Linked DNA regions of Canis lupus familiaris. The protein of the gene in region 2 purifies or fractionates together with the protein of the main gene of each other region. This does not show direct contact. Links are inferred from orthologs where the notes say so. Each region holds a gene or a part of one and is shown on either strand. Other genes may lie near its edges.

Region 1 (7,947 bases), on a different chromosome or scaffold from region 2:
TCTTTCGCATAGGTCAGTGTTTTTCAACGTTATTTTTAACCTGCTTTTTTGTGATGTTTTCATAGTTTTTCTTTTATATATATGAGCCAGTAAGATTTAGATCTTAATTTCTGTAGTTTATTCTATTTTTTTTGTAGAAAACAACAGACATATTTAATGTGCTTTTAAAATGTGCTTTCTACCTCAGAAATTTTGTTATTGTGCTTATCTGAGTTGTAAGGAAGAACTACTTGACTTTTAAAAGTCACATTTAATATATATTATATCATGATTTATCGAATATATTTGATCATCAAAATCTCATGCACCTAAGAAAGTTTCCTTTCTCTCACCCTAGAGGACTATTTCAAATCCCTTTCTTCAAATTTCTAACACCTCTTTCTTCCAAGATCACTCTGATGATGCAACATTGCTTCCTATTTTAAAAAGAAAAGGAAAATAATTGAAGGAATGAGTAGGGAATTTCCAAAGACTCCACTTATAAAAATCCATCTATTTCCAACTGTTTCCACCTTGGGAACTATGATAAAAAGAAACAAATTTAAAGTACCTATAATACCACTCTTCTTTCCCATCATTGAAGTATCCATTTTTTAAACTAAAATTAGTCCTTCCAATTTTGAACTCATTCTCATCATTCCCTTTTAATTTCACTATTTCTTCTCTTTCATGATTACATTATCAATTTTTTGTTTTGTAGTGGGTCATTCTTGTCAGCATACAGCATACAGATATACTGCTAGTCTCCAATCTTACAGAATCTTAAAGAATAAAAAATTTCTTCTTTTGACTGTTTTCCCTGACTCCCTTTCAGTTTTTTTTTTTTGCAGCATACTCCTAACTTGTTCATACCCATCATATCTATTCTGTTTTCCTAGTCTCTTAGATCTACTTTAATCAGATTTCAATTAATAAAACTCTTGTTACTAGTGACTTCCACATTACTAAATCCAGTGGTCAGTTCTTTCTCTTCATACTATTTGATCTATCATCAACAGATGTCATTTTATATTTTCTCCTCCTGGGTATGCTTTCTTTACTTCAACGCTTCGGGGATACCACTTATTTCCAGTTCTCCTTGTTTTAGTCATCTTTGTTGGTTACTCTTTCACTCAGAATGTTGGAATGTCTTATAGGTCAGTTGTTGGAACTTTTCTTTTTCTATACTTCTAGTGGTAATTAGAATTAAAGAATTTCCCCACACACACTACACCTTTTTTTCCTGGAAAGTGGAGATTATAGAAAAGAAAATGAAATACTGCTATTTTAAAACTACTTTTCAGACTTTCAGACCCCATTTCAAAACTTACAATGAGAACTATGGACCTTTGGGGAATTTACCTCTTGTGGCAAGGGTTTGAAAAGTAGATAAGGCTGTTTTATCTGAAGACTATTGTGATATAATGTCCTTATTCTTAGGACATGATAGAAAGATGGATATTATATTTCTTAGATCTCATAAACCTTAAAGATATTTTTAAAAATTTTATATGAATGTGGGTGGTGTGTTGGCATTATTTTATGTAACCTCAAACATGTCCATATAGATAATCTGCAAAGGATGAAATTTAAGACTGAGCATTATAAAAAGATTCTATCAGATCAAATTTTAGAGTCTATAAAACATGAAAGCAGATGTGTTTGATAGAAAGCATTTGAAAAATATGATTAAAAAGTAAGTTTAAGGCACTTATGATACCGCTGCCTAAATGCAGTTTATATTTTGAAATATTATCTTCTAGTCTTTATGCAGTTTAAAAATCATGCTATGATCATATAATTACTTGTGCTTTGCCCTTAGCATAATATAAACATCCATGTTCTCACATTTTTAAAAAAAAATGCACATTGGTTTAGGGATTGCACTATAAATATCCTATCTCATGGATTCCTTTGTCTTGAACATTTGGGTTTTGGTTATTTTTATTTACGTTTATTTTCATTTTTTGCTTTTGTGGATAAAGCTGCAGTGAGCATCCTTTGCATAATTTTTTTTTCTGTTTTAGGATTACTTCCTTAGGATAGATTGCCAGAAGTGGAGTTACTGGGTCAGAGGGTATGAACTTATGAACTTTTTTTCCTTTTTTAAAAAAAATAAAAATAAGATTTTTTTTGTTTATTCGTGCTCCTGTTGTTTATATTCGTTGTGAAAAATGAAAACCATAATGATTATACTTGGTACCTGTCAGAAAACCATGTCTTAAGGCAAGGTTCTATGATTAGAGAAGTTTGGGAAATTCCTAAAGTAAAAAAAGCCTTTTTATCTTGGTTTACCTGAGCATTTCCTGAACTTAACTGATCACTGGATAGTTTTTTATGATATACTTCATAACATTTTCTGGAAGTTTTATAAAAGATAGTTTATGGATTGATAATTGAAAATCATTTTATTGGTTAAATTATGTTTTATTGGTGAAAGCAATTAAATTATGAAGCTTCAATTTAAAATTATTTTTTAAAATATTAAAATAATGTTTACCATGTGATTTTTGTGTATATCTATAAAGTCTCATAATTTCTACATTTTAAACTTCCTGTTTATTCCTAAAGAACACCTAATGTCTCAGTAGCATCAAATACTTTTTATAGTCTTTAATAAAATGTGGAATATAGACCTAGAACATAAAAATGAAAGATAATGTAAATTGTACAAACCTTTTTTCCCCCCCTCATTTTTCCCTACAGAATGTGAAATCCTTTGCATCTTCTGATAGTCTAGCCAAGGTCCAAGAAGTAGCAAGCTGGCTTTTGGAAATGAATCAGGAACTGCTCTCTGTGGGCAGCAAACGACGACGAACTGGAGGCTCTCTGAGAGGTAACCCTTCCTCAAGCCAGGCAGATGAGGAACAGATGAATCGTGTGGTAGAGGAGGAACAGCAGCAGCAGCAACAGCAGCAACAGCTCAGACAACAAGAGGAGGAGCACACTGCAAGGAATGGTGAAGTCGTCGGAGCAGAACCTAGACCTGGAGACCAAAATGATTCCCAGCAAGGACATTTGGAAGAAAACAATAATCGATTCATTTCGGTAGATGAGGACTCCTCAGGAAACCAAGAAGAGCAAGAAGAAGATGAAGAACATGCTGGTGAACAAGATGAGGAGGATGAAGAAGAAGAGGAAATGGACCAGGAGAGTGATGATTTTGATCAATCTGATGACAGTAGCAGGGAAGATGACCATACACATAGTAACAGTGTCACAAACTCCACTAGTATCGTGGACCTGCCTATTCACCAACTCTCCTCCCCATTCTATACAAAGACAACAAAAGTGAGTATATTTAGTCTGCTGTTCCCCTGAGACATTTACCTATTCATATGAATTGTGATGAAACTTTCCTCACAGTCTTTGTTACTGCTGCAAAATTAACTTCAGATGTGTAATAATAAAATGAACTAAGTTTTGTTTTATGGAAGGTATTAGAAATAGAAATACTGATAATAGGACAATCTTATTACAAATCGAAGGTAATTAATCCTATTACTATGAAAAATTATTGATAACAAATTTTATCCCTACGACAGAGGTTAGTAGTTTGTGTGCAGTGGAGAGGATTGGAGTGAAACATGTTTTATGTAAATCAAGTAGCAAAGAATCTTTTCTTATTTAAAAAACGCAGGTGGTTGGGGTAGGCTGTTTATTTACAGGTGTTACTCCAAGGCACAAATTATTGTTAAGTTTCTGTCACTACTTCCCTTATTTGCAGTTTTCATTTTCTTTCCCATTCCTAAGAGACAGCTCTGTCTGTCTGTTGTATGTGCCTCCTTATTCATTTGGCCAGTAGTAGCCCATGGAGTTAGCCATAGGCATGGTTTTTGTTTTCATTTTTAGAGAGAGAGTGTGTGCATACATGAGCAGCAGGGTGTTGGGGGAAGGGACAGAGGGAGAAAGAGAATCTTAAGCAGGTTCCACGCCCAGCATGGAGCCTGACACTGGGGCTTGACCTCATGACCTGAGCTGAAATCAAGAGTTGGTTGCTTAACTGACTGAGCTACCCAGACATCCCTTAGCCTTAGACCTATTTTAAAAGGTAGACAATTAGACTTTTGTCTAAATCAGAGAAATCTTATCAACTCTGGGACTTGGTGATAATCTAGTGCTGAGAAAAACAGTTCCACTGGACATTGTCCTTTGAGGCTCTATCAGAGAATAAGGACTGGAATATCACTGCTCCCTAGGATCATCTTTGCTACTAGATAGGCAGGGAGGTCCTGAACATTGAAGTGTGTCTGAAATAGAAGGAGGAAGTGATTGGGCAGCTGCAGTAAATTTGGAATTGCCAGTGCTTGTTCTTTGGGATGGCATGTGGGCTTCTTTCCTCAAAATATTCTTGGATATTATTATATCCTTTAAAATTATGGTTATGACAAGAGGTTGGCATTATAGAGAAAAAACAGCAGTGTTACTTCTCTCCCTAATTTTCCTGTATATTCCTCGCCCCCAGCCCTCCTTCAAATGATAGTCAAAATGAAATGATACAGTGTCTGGGCTTTGCTTCAAAATAATCCTGAAGGAGAAAAGGAAAGAGGATATAGATTGGCCATGAGTTGCTGAATATTGAAATTGGGTTCCAGAGATGGGGATGGTTTGTAGGTGTTTTTCTGTGTGGTTTTTAAAGTATGTTTAAAATATTACATAATTGAAACATTTTTAAGTTGTGAAGAATATGAGCACACACACAGACCTCAGAAAATGATAATCAAAGTTGGAAATAGGAGTTTTCTTTACATATCTTGGTCTTGTTGACTAGCTCCTAAGTCAAGTAAGTGCTGACTTCTCTATGTTGAATTTTATTTTCTTTGTATTTTGGTGCTATTGAAATTACAGGAAATTCAGTAAGACATCATGTACTTTTTGCTGGAGTTAGAATTTATTTTAATCAATATTTTAGGCAGTGTTGCTATATACTAGTCTATTTAAAGAGGAAAGAAAGTAAAAAGAATTATACTCAGAATGAATGAGGTATGTAGCACAACTTCTATCCTTTTCTTCCCCCTCAGCCTTCTACATTCATAAATCTTTGTTTGCATGCTTTTTGGTTCTTCATCATTTGAAAATTAGATAAAAATCATGAATATCCATGTAGAGTAGACTTATAAGTCAAACATTTCTTTGGAATGGAACATTTTAATTCAGTTATTCAAAATTAAAATAATGTTCATGTGGTTTATCCACTTACTCTTATTTGCTTATTTTTAAATTGAAAAGTGAATCATCTGTTTAGCCCATAATATACAAACACATGTAACATCATCTTCTTTAATGTAACTTGACCTAGAATGAATAATTTTGATGCTAGGTTTAATACTTGAATTGCTGTATCATTTTTGCTTCAGGTTGTAAAACTTTAAACTCTTCTAAAACATGTTTATCCCTGATTTCCCTAGCCTGTCTGCAAGTTTAGATTTTATTTAGTTGGTTTGATCTAAGAAGAAGCTCTACCTCTAATAGCTACAGCCCTGCTTTTTGGTAAGGCTAAGGACTTTTATAATGCAATCCTGCCAGCTTCTATCTCCCTGATCTCTTGATCTCTCTCCCTCAAGGTTACTACATCTAAAGAGGGGGTTTATGTCTCTCTTTTGTCTGAAGGTTCAGGTTGGGGAATGGGGCTTAGTATTTGGTTGTATTAGCTTATTTAAGAAAGAAGTTTAATCAAAACTAAGCCTTGTTGAAAAATGCAAAGCTATCAGCAAGTTGTGCTATATTTTAAATTAAAAACAAGAAAGCCAGCTAGACAAAACATAGCTTTTTCCAGAAGGAAAAGTCATCAGATTATTCTGCAGGAAAACTACTAGTACACAGATTTGACAGATGCTTTATCATTCTTCCCCCCCACCCTTTAAGATGAAACTGTAAATAGAACTTTTAGATATGTCTTCTTATACAGTTATTTAGTTACATCCGTAAAAGCAAAGTAACAGGGATCCCTGGGTGGCGCAGCGGTTTAGCGCTTGCCTTTGGCCCAGGGTGCAATCCTGGAGACCCGGGATCGAATCCCACGTCGGGCTCCCGGTGCATGGAGCCTGCTTCTCCCTCTGCCTATGTCTCTGCCTCTCTCTCTCTCTCTCACTGTGTGCCTATCATAAATAAATAAAATAAAATAAAATAAATTTAAAAAAAAGCAAAGTATCGATTTTAGGTCAGTTTTTTTCTAGTGTCTCTTGAGTGATGAATGCATATTATTGTGCTGTACATACAAGGCCATAGGAGTAGACTGAGTACTAGTGACAGCAGGAATTAGATGTATATATGTGCATAGGTGTTTGTGTGTGTGTGTGTGTGTGTGTGTGTATCCTGGTGTACACACTTTGGATGTATTTATTGTTTATTTTGAGGTCATTTTCCTGCACAGATATGGCAAGAAGAATATAAACTATTTGACTGCCAAGGCAACGATGCCCCTCTGCAGAGTAGTATTTCAGGTTAAAATTGGCCCATTTTCCTTTTTCTCTTTTCCTGGATCTCTTCTTTACAATTGTTCCCAGAGTACTTTATTTTTTCACCAACACTTTAAAGATGTCACATATTACTTCATTGCTTATAAAGAAAATGTCAGTCACCCATGTATATAAATCTTTTTAATACAGTAAATGAGGAAAAGGTCTCATTATTTTATAGATTTTATTTTAGAGCAGCTTTAAATTCTTGATTATTATAAACATAAAACACTTCTATAGACATTACTCTGGGCCACAGTTTTAAGACTTCTTAAATCGTGACTTTTGAAGAGAGTAAAGGTATAAGAATCATTTAAAAAATCCCTTTCTTTTCACCTTAATATGGGATTAGCAGGATGCCTGAGTGCCTCAGTGGTTGAGCTTCTGCCTTCCGCTCAGGGCATTATTCCAGAGATCAAGTCCCACATCAGGCTCCCTGAGGGGAGCCTGCTTCTCCCTCTGCCTGTCTCTGCCTCTTTCTGTGCGTCTCTCATGAATAAATAAATAAAATCTTTAAAAAAACATACGGAATTAGCCTGTAGTTTTACCCAAAATAGCTTTCAAGTGTGGTGTTTTTCTTTTGGTTGTGTTTTTGGTTTTGTTTTGTGTGTGTGTGTGTGTGTGGCAGTTTCTTAAACATTCCCTGTGGACAGCTATGCTTATTTGTTGGTCATTTCTGAACATGTTGTTTTTCAAATATGGTAATGAGAAAAACCATTTTTGTCCTTCCTGGCATTGGTCTTTTCTTTGAAAACATACTAAAAGTATCAGTCTTTTTTTCTCCTCTAGTCACCAAAGATTTGTTTGTATCGGAGGCTATGCAATAATATACATTAAAATTTCAGACCATTTTAATGTTAAAATTCAAGGGTACTGGCAGTCAAGAATTGGTATTTATTAAGTCCATACTGTTTGCAAGTCCCTACGATAGATAAGTAAATAAAAGTAAGAAAGCCCAAATGATTCACCCAAAAATCAAACTCAAAGTGACCAGAGATTTGATTTGATTTGATTTGATTTTTTTTTGAGGGCAGTTTTGTTTTATTAGGCTTAGAGTAGCATTCACCATTTACATAGCCCTTTAGAGTTTACAATTTACTTCCACATCCTTAATCATATGACAAGACTATGACCAGCGATTTTAATCCAGATCTGCCTAATTTCAGAAATCCCCCTTTCTCTCCATGTGCTATGCTGCCCCCTGTGGTAGAATTTTGCCAACATTACTACATGAGATTTTCAGCATAACTGCCGGTGTGTTTAGGTTCTAGACTCTGGAGTGTGATGTCTTTCTAATACCATGTCATATTTGAAATCATCAGAGCTACCCTTTAGTGAAGGTTCAGAGGGTTCAATTAACTGCTTTACTTTGTGGTATCTAACAAAGATTTTTGAAGATATGAAGGCTTGAGGCTAAATTGTAACAAGAAGAAATGATGGTGAAATTTGAGATTGGAGAACAGGTATCACTTTTTCCAGAGTACATCAAACTTATTTCTTTTTTTAAAAT
Region 2 (6,823 bases):
ATTTAGGGCTGTTATTTTCTCAACTCTCTTTCCCAGGTCAAATCATATCTAAAAGACAGAAGATGCCTAATCACTGAGCCGCGAATTTAAGTATTCAACCAGGCAATACCGACTTGCTTTAGGTGCTTTATAAAATCTATACCTAAACCTACATAGGAATGAAGATGAAATAAATGGCTTAACATTCAAGTCAGATAATGAAAAAAATAATGGCAACTATGAAATGATATTAACCACAGAACTCCTTGTACGAAAAGTTTTAATGAATTGTGAGCCATTGGCCATTACAGACTTTAAGCCTCAATATTTCTTCCCTATGTAGAACCAAATAATTAAAACAGCCTATCTCAAGTTTAACAGAAAACCATAGTATGAATAGTAATAGTCTGTTTACACATCTGCATGCTTCGCTAAAGAACCGAAGAGAATGCTCCCAGTTTCCCAAGTCAACAAAGTAAATTCAATTACACATTTTTCTTTCCTGATCATAGTTTTAGTTGAAATACAACTAATACTGTTTTGCCTTTCAATTGCACATTTTATCCAGCATACAAGTATTTTTCCCATTATTTTCTCCTTTGCCCTCAATATGCTTGTGAGGTAGTGAAGGGAGGGAGCAAGGATTTTTTTTTTTTTAATTTTGCAGATGAGAAAACTTAAGGTGAATTTAAAACTCAACCTTAGCAGCATACTGAAATCACCCAGGAAGTTTAAAAAAATCCTTATGATCATATCATACCCCAGACTAACATCAGAATTTTAGGATACATCAATATTTTTCAAAATGCACATGACTCCAAAGCTAAGTGTGAGAATCACTGGTTTAGAAGATTTATACTTAACCTTCAGGTACAACTGTATTCTACTTGAAAGCTCTCTCAGTATCAACAAGAGATTCCTTTTCCTTAAACATTGTAACAGTTTAATATTCTCTATACAACTACTATTGGTCTCCAGTAATAAAATAATCAGGTTATAAATGAAGGCTCTTGATTCCCCTGATGTTTATTCTAAATATGAACCTCCATTTTATAAAATCTGCAAATAGCATATTAGAGAATTTAAGTCTTTGAGATAAGAATGGCTTGTTGTTAAATACTTAGGCAATTATTTGATTCTAGGTTCAATGTGCAATAACCATGTGTTTCTGTTTTCCATTCAGCACCTTCCAAACTTTGTAACAAATGAATGTTATACTAATAGGACAAAACAGAAGTTATAAACAAAACTCAGCAAAAGCTCTTGGAATTGGCTATATCACAACACCCTGAAAAAACACCAAGCACATAAGGGACTTCATTGTTTCATCATTTATCAATCTGCATCCTGAATCAGTTCTTTTCTTCAAATTTTAAACTTTGCCAAATTGAGTTGTTCTACACCAAGAAAAATCAATTTCTGTAGCAGCTATATTCTCTAATACATTTAACATATAATTTCACTCTGTACTACTAAATATGGTTTCCAGGAGGGTTCTTTTTGACATGGATATTAAAAAGGATCTTTAACAGATTTTGCTTTTAAGCAACATACCAAATACACAATAAATATTTGTAAACCTGTCAGGTGGCAAAAATAGATCTTTGTTCATGACTGAAATTCCCTGCTTCATAAGAATATTGATAATCTTAACTCTCAAGGAGCAACCCAAAAGCCCCAGCCAGCTGCTTGCTGTCCCTAATTTGATTAGATTTAAAACAAAATTACACACAGCAATAAGCTCAAAGGCAAAGATTATACCTGCCTTAGTCAATTCTTATCACAAAGATGTATCTGAAACCATGTATTTATATACTTTCATACAGAAAGATGATGGTTGTTTCTCTTATAAAAGAAAATCTCAGCTCATATATGTTATTAATTCAAGAGTATTAGTGAAATCAGATTTATTAGTCAAAAACTCAGAATAGGAATTAATGTCAAGCTCTTCTATAAGGAAACCTTCAAAACATTGCCAACCTGAAGTTTACAGCACAAGGTATTTTATTTCAAGTCCCATGGGGGCAATTATCTATAATGAGATTAAGAACATTCTTAACCTGGGTTCAGGCTGGCACTGTTTCAGGTGGGTGAGTAAACATTTTCTTGATAACCCCAATGAAGAGTTTGAGGCTTAGATTTTGTTGCCATGATGTAAACAATATAAAATTTAAAAAAAAATTATAATATCTACAGCATTATAAAGTTACAAAATAAAAGAACCATTAATCCTTTTCCTTAGGTCTGTGACTAACAGCTTTCATATTTGAGGCCTGTAAGAGCAAATGGCAATGTTCTGTGTTGTTATGAGACACTTTCTCAAAAGGCCAAAAAATAAAACCAGATACTAGAGGACGTACATTATCATTACTACTACTGACATATGTATAATTAGAAATAGATTTGCCTTGCCTCAATCTTAAACTAGGAGACTGAGGGATCTTTACAATAATTTTGATCATTAAAAGAAAAATAACCAGACTGTAATAGCTATGGAAACTGTAAACAAAACTAATTTAAAAATGAGCCAATATAACACATCTCCTCTTAAAATCCTCTTCTTTGTAGTTACCTAATTTTCCCTAAATGTTATTCTAATTTTGTACCATGTAGTGGTTTTTAAGAAATTGAACTAGAACAAAGCAACCCCTTTGTCCTATTTTTTTTACAGTTTTTTTTACACACTTATTATATATACAACTTTTAAAATAGCTGCACAATTTTACATCTCACTGTTAGAGAAGTGCAGTCCAGGCAGACCATGCTTCTCAATATATTAAAAATATTAAATAAAACCCAACCAGTTTCATACTTTTCTATTAGTCAAGCTGGCTGGGAAAAAGGGTCTGGAGAAAAAACAGGCAGTTGTAAAACAGGATCAGTCTTTCTTCACAAACACACTACTTAAAAATCTTGCTATTTCCTTATCTTATCCCTTTTATAGCATCTCTAAAATCTCACCTTAAAAGTTGGAAATTAACACATTGCTAACTTAGAGACCAAATCTGTTGCAACATGCATATGTCAACTGCCCACTCAACCAACTGCAACCCTGAGGATTTTTCTGGCCCAGTAGAAAGAGGATACACTAAGATAATCTCTGCTGTAGAGTTGCTTCTCCAGTTAACAATTTCATGTGTTTTTCAGGATGTTTCTTGGGCATGCATGTATGACACTGTCACTTCATGATTCTACTTTCCATAAGCAGATATCTCTTCCATTCTGTCTTTCATTCCAGAAAAGCCACTGTCATCCATCCAAAGGTTTTCCAAGGTAAACCAAAGTCACTTCTGTGTTGCCATATACAGCAGAAACTGCTGGATATAAGCAGACCTTTGGAAGTCCTCTAAAGGCAACCCCCAGGAACTCATATCCACGTTCAAAAGCTAAAGTCTTATCTTCCATGTCCAAGATGACTCGAATTCTTTCTCCTATCTGCAAAGAGACACCAAAAGGTCAGAAGGAAACTCACCAAGTGCATAGCTAGAAGAAATAAGATACAAATCAACAAGCTGAAAACATTAAGAATAGAGAAATGGGAAGTTACTGTTTAATGGGCACAGAGTTTGTGTTGGGGAAGATGAAAAAGTCTTAGGTATAGATAGTGGTGACGGATAAACACATTGTGAGTATACTAATGTCACTGCATCGTACACTTACAATTAAAACAATAAATAACGTATATATTTTATCACAATAAAAAATTACTATAATAAAAACACATAAAGTTTATAAAGCAGTTCTACATACACTTTGGAACTTACATAATCATGAAGAGTCAAACCTGACTATAGATTCTACAGATGTAGAATAAGCGTATTAGTCATTTTATGGGCCACTGCTTTGAAACACCGTTTGTTATAAAAACAGCAGCACTGATTGTTAAACTAAAGCAGAAGCACAATATATCCAAATATTTTCCCACATGGAAAACTAAGCAGACAAATAAGGATGTTTTATTTTTATAATTGAATCTACAAAAGGCTGTACATCTATATACTTGGAGGAGAAAGTCCTAACATTTGCAATAAAAAAATCAAATTTAGTACTTCCCAATTATGTTAATTCCTGTTGTTGTTACTTTCCTTCACTGTATTTTCTGTCACAGACAACTACAAACAGCTGCTTCTTTCTTCCCTTTGCCTAATTTATTAATTTGCGCCCCATTTTATGGACCTAAGAACATCCTCGTCACCATCATCACTATTGCCACCAACAAAACAAACAACAAAAAATAGAAACGAAAAGTTAATATTTTGCTGGGTATTCATTTTGCGGTTTATGTGTATTATCTCATTTAATCCTCCCATCTATCCTAAGATTTATCCCTACTTAACAGAAGATGGAAACTAAAATGACAGAACCACTCCTGGTGAAATTTGCAAGTTTGCTTCACCTTTGATTGAGCGTACAGCATGCACATGCCAGAGAGCAAAAGCAGAAATTATACTAGCTTTAGGTGTCAGAGGTCAAAACCTGGGAGATGGCAGAGCAACTGGAAACAGAGGAAGAACTCTAGAAGCAAGAGAACCACAAAGAGGATGAGCCCCAAAATCTGAGAATAAATTGACCAAATCATTGTGTGATCACAGTCTTACACTGACACAGGGAAAATCTCCAAAGAATCAAGCTGGAAAAACAGCAGCTAGAAGCCAACCCCTCTTTCCCTAAAACCCCCAAATCTGAACAAAGACATAAGCTGCTGTACACCATGGGGCAGACAAGGGTTTACAGTTTGATGAAGAATCAAATCTAGTAGGCAAGTTAACTAGAACATCTAATTTTCAGAAAAATAAAATGATCTCTAGAAATAAAAGATTCCAGTATTTAATACATATTATCTAGAATTTCCAATTTAAAAATGATTGGATATGAAAAGAAACAGAAAAGTGCAATTCATACTCTGGGGGAGAAAAAGAGTCAACAGAAACAGACTCCAAGTAGGCCTACATGTTGGATTTGGCAGACAAAGAATTCAAAGCACTTATTATAAATATGTGCAAAGAATTAAAGAAAAATCTAATATTGATGGACAGATACAGATTCTCAATAGAGAAATGAAAACTACAATAAAGAACCAAATGAAAATTTTAGAGCTGAAGAGTACAATAACCAAAATTCACTAGCCTGGCTTAACAGCAGAACTGAAATGGTAAGAAGAAATAATCAATAAATTTGAAGATGGAGCAAGAGAAATAATCTGGTCCAAAAAACAAGGAGAAAAAATATTTCTTAAACAAGAACATAGCTTCAGTGATAGAAAGACACAGACCACATCAAGCAGTCCAACAACTACACTGAATATAAATGGGTTAAACACTCAAATCAATAGGCAGAGATAATAAGATTGGGTTAGAGAAGACCCAGTTATATGCCCTCTAGGAGACCCATTTTAAAGACAAAGATAGATGATTAAAGTAAAAGAATGGAGAAAAAGAGATACCTTGCAATAGTAAGCTTAAGAAAACTAAAGTTATATTAACATCAGACAAAAAAAAAAAAAAAAAAACATCAGACAAAACAGACTTAAAAACAATGAGTACTGAAATTTCCAACTATACTTGGTAATTTATCTATTCCTTCTTTCGGTTCTGTAAGTTTTTGCTTCATGTGTTTTGGGGCTCTATTATTGTGTGCAGATATATTTACAGTTGTTATATCTCCCTATTTGATTCTCTTATCATTATGAAATGACTCCTTTAAGTCTATAATTCCTTAAAAATTTCAATTTCTTATCAGATTTCTGTGTTTTAAACTCCGTTGACCCTATGGTAATCATATGGCTTTTACAAATAGGAACTATAATTTTGACCCCAGAATCAAATGAATATGGTATAACATTAAGATGAAAAGAATAAAAAAATGCAGTGGTTTGCATGAATTTGCCTGTCTTATAGAAATCACTGATACCTCCTGAGGCCTTGAATCCATAAACAGATTAATGAATAGCAGAGGGTATTTGTATGCATGTGCATAGGTGCATTTATGGGAGTAAGAAGTCTAGAGAAAGTAGATTTGGATGTGCCACGATATAGAAAAGATGACAATCTAGAGCATGAGATGGGAAACTATGGTCATTGGGCCAAGTCTTGCCTGTGGCCCATAAATAAGGTTTTACTATAACACAGCTATGCTCACTCATTTACATATCATTTATGGCTGCTTTTGTACTATTAACAACAGACTTGAATAGTGGTGACCACAAGTCCTGAAATGTTTACTACCTGCCCTGTACAGAAAGGTTTGCCAACTCCCAACTTAGACCAACAGATTGCTCAAGGTCAAATATGTATCAGGAAACAGGGAAATACCAAAAGATTATTAGAGTAGAAAAGAAAGGCGAGTTACACTATTTATTTTTAAATTAAAAGAAATACATACAAAGCTGCTATATAAAATTGTGTAAATTTAGAACAAATCAAGGTATGATTTGACAAAGGCCCACAATTGAGAAACTACCCAGTTTCTCACCTGATATTTTGGTGCATTGTTGCATTGTGGAAAACTGCCATTCACTTCTCCATTATGTAGTAGATTATTGTCCACCAGATTCCAGCCCCAGCTCTGGTCATCACTGCCCAATAATGCCACATAACCTTGGCACTGCATGGGGGCCCGTTTTGTGGCAATTCCAATCACTGCCACAGTGCCCAGAGGGCCTTCCCACCACACTTCCCATGCATGGCGGCCCTCACTGAAACCAATCTTGGTCCTTGCACCATCAGTACTTTGAGCAATGGGGTTTCGATGTAAAGTAAAGCCATTTTTCTTAATGTAGACATTCCTGGAGCAGTCATTAGTGCTGAAGGCATGCTGGAAAGCACGTACCTGAAAAGACGAAAAA

Evidence for each region.
Region 1: the proteins of FBXO45 (region 2) and FBXW7 purify together in Homo sapiens (affinity purification with mass spectrometry; 4 studies listed by BioGRID and IntAct, counting the BioPlex papers as one, with this or other methods). This does not show direct contact. The link is inferred for Canis lupus familiaris from reciprocal best matches to the Homo sapiens genes FBXO45 and FBXW7.

Annotation. Positions count from the first base shown.
Region 1 is NC_049236.1:50,631,981-50,639,927, reverse strand, and holds part of FBXW7 (F-box/WD repeat-containing protein 7), read left to right. Parts: intron 1-2,006; 5' UTR 2,007-2,056; intron 2,057-2,685; 5' UTR 2,686-2,754; coding exon 2,755-3,270; intron 3,271-7,947. UniProt on the Homo sapiens protein: Substrate recognition component of a SCF (SKP1-CUL1-F-box protein) E3 ubiquitin-protein ligase complex which mediates the ubiquitination and subsequent proteasomal degradation of target proteins.
Region 2 is NC_049254.1:30,333,940-30,340,762, reverse strand, and holds the end of FBXO45 (F-box/SPRY domain-containing protein 1), read right to left. Parts: intron 6,808-6,823; coding exon 6,451-6,807; intron 3,415-6,450; coding exon 3,229-3,414; 3' UTR 243-3,228; downstream 1-242. UniProt on the Homo sapiens protein: Component of E3 ubiquitin ligase complex consisting of FBXO45, MYCBP2 and SKP1. Functions in substrate recognition but also plays an important role in assembly of the complex.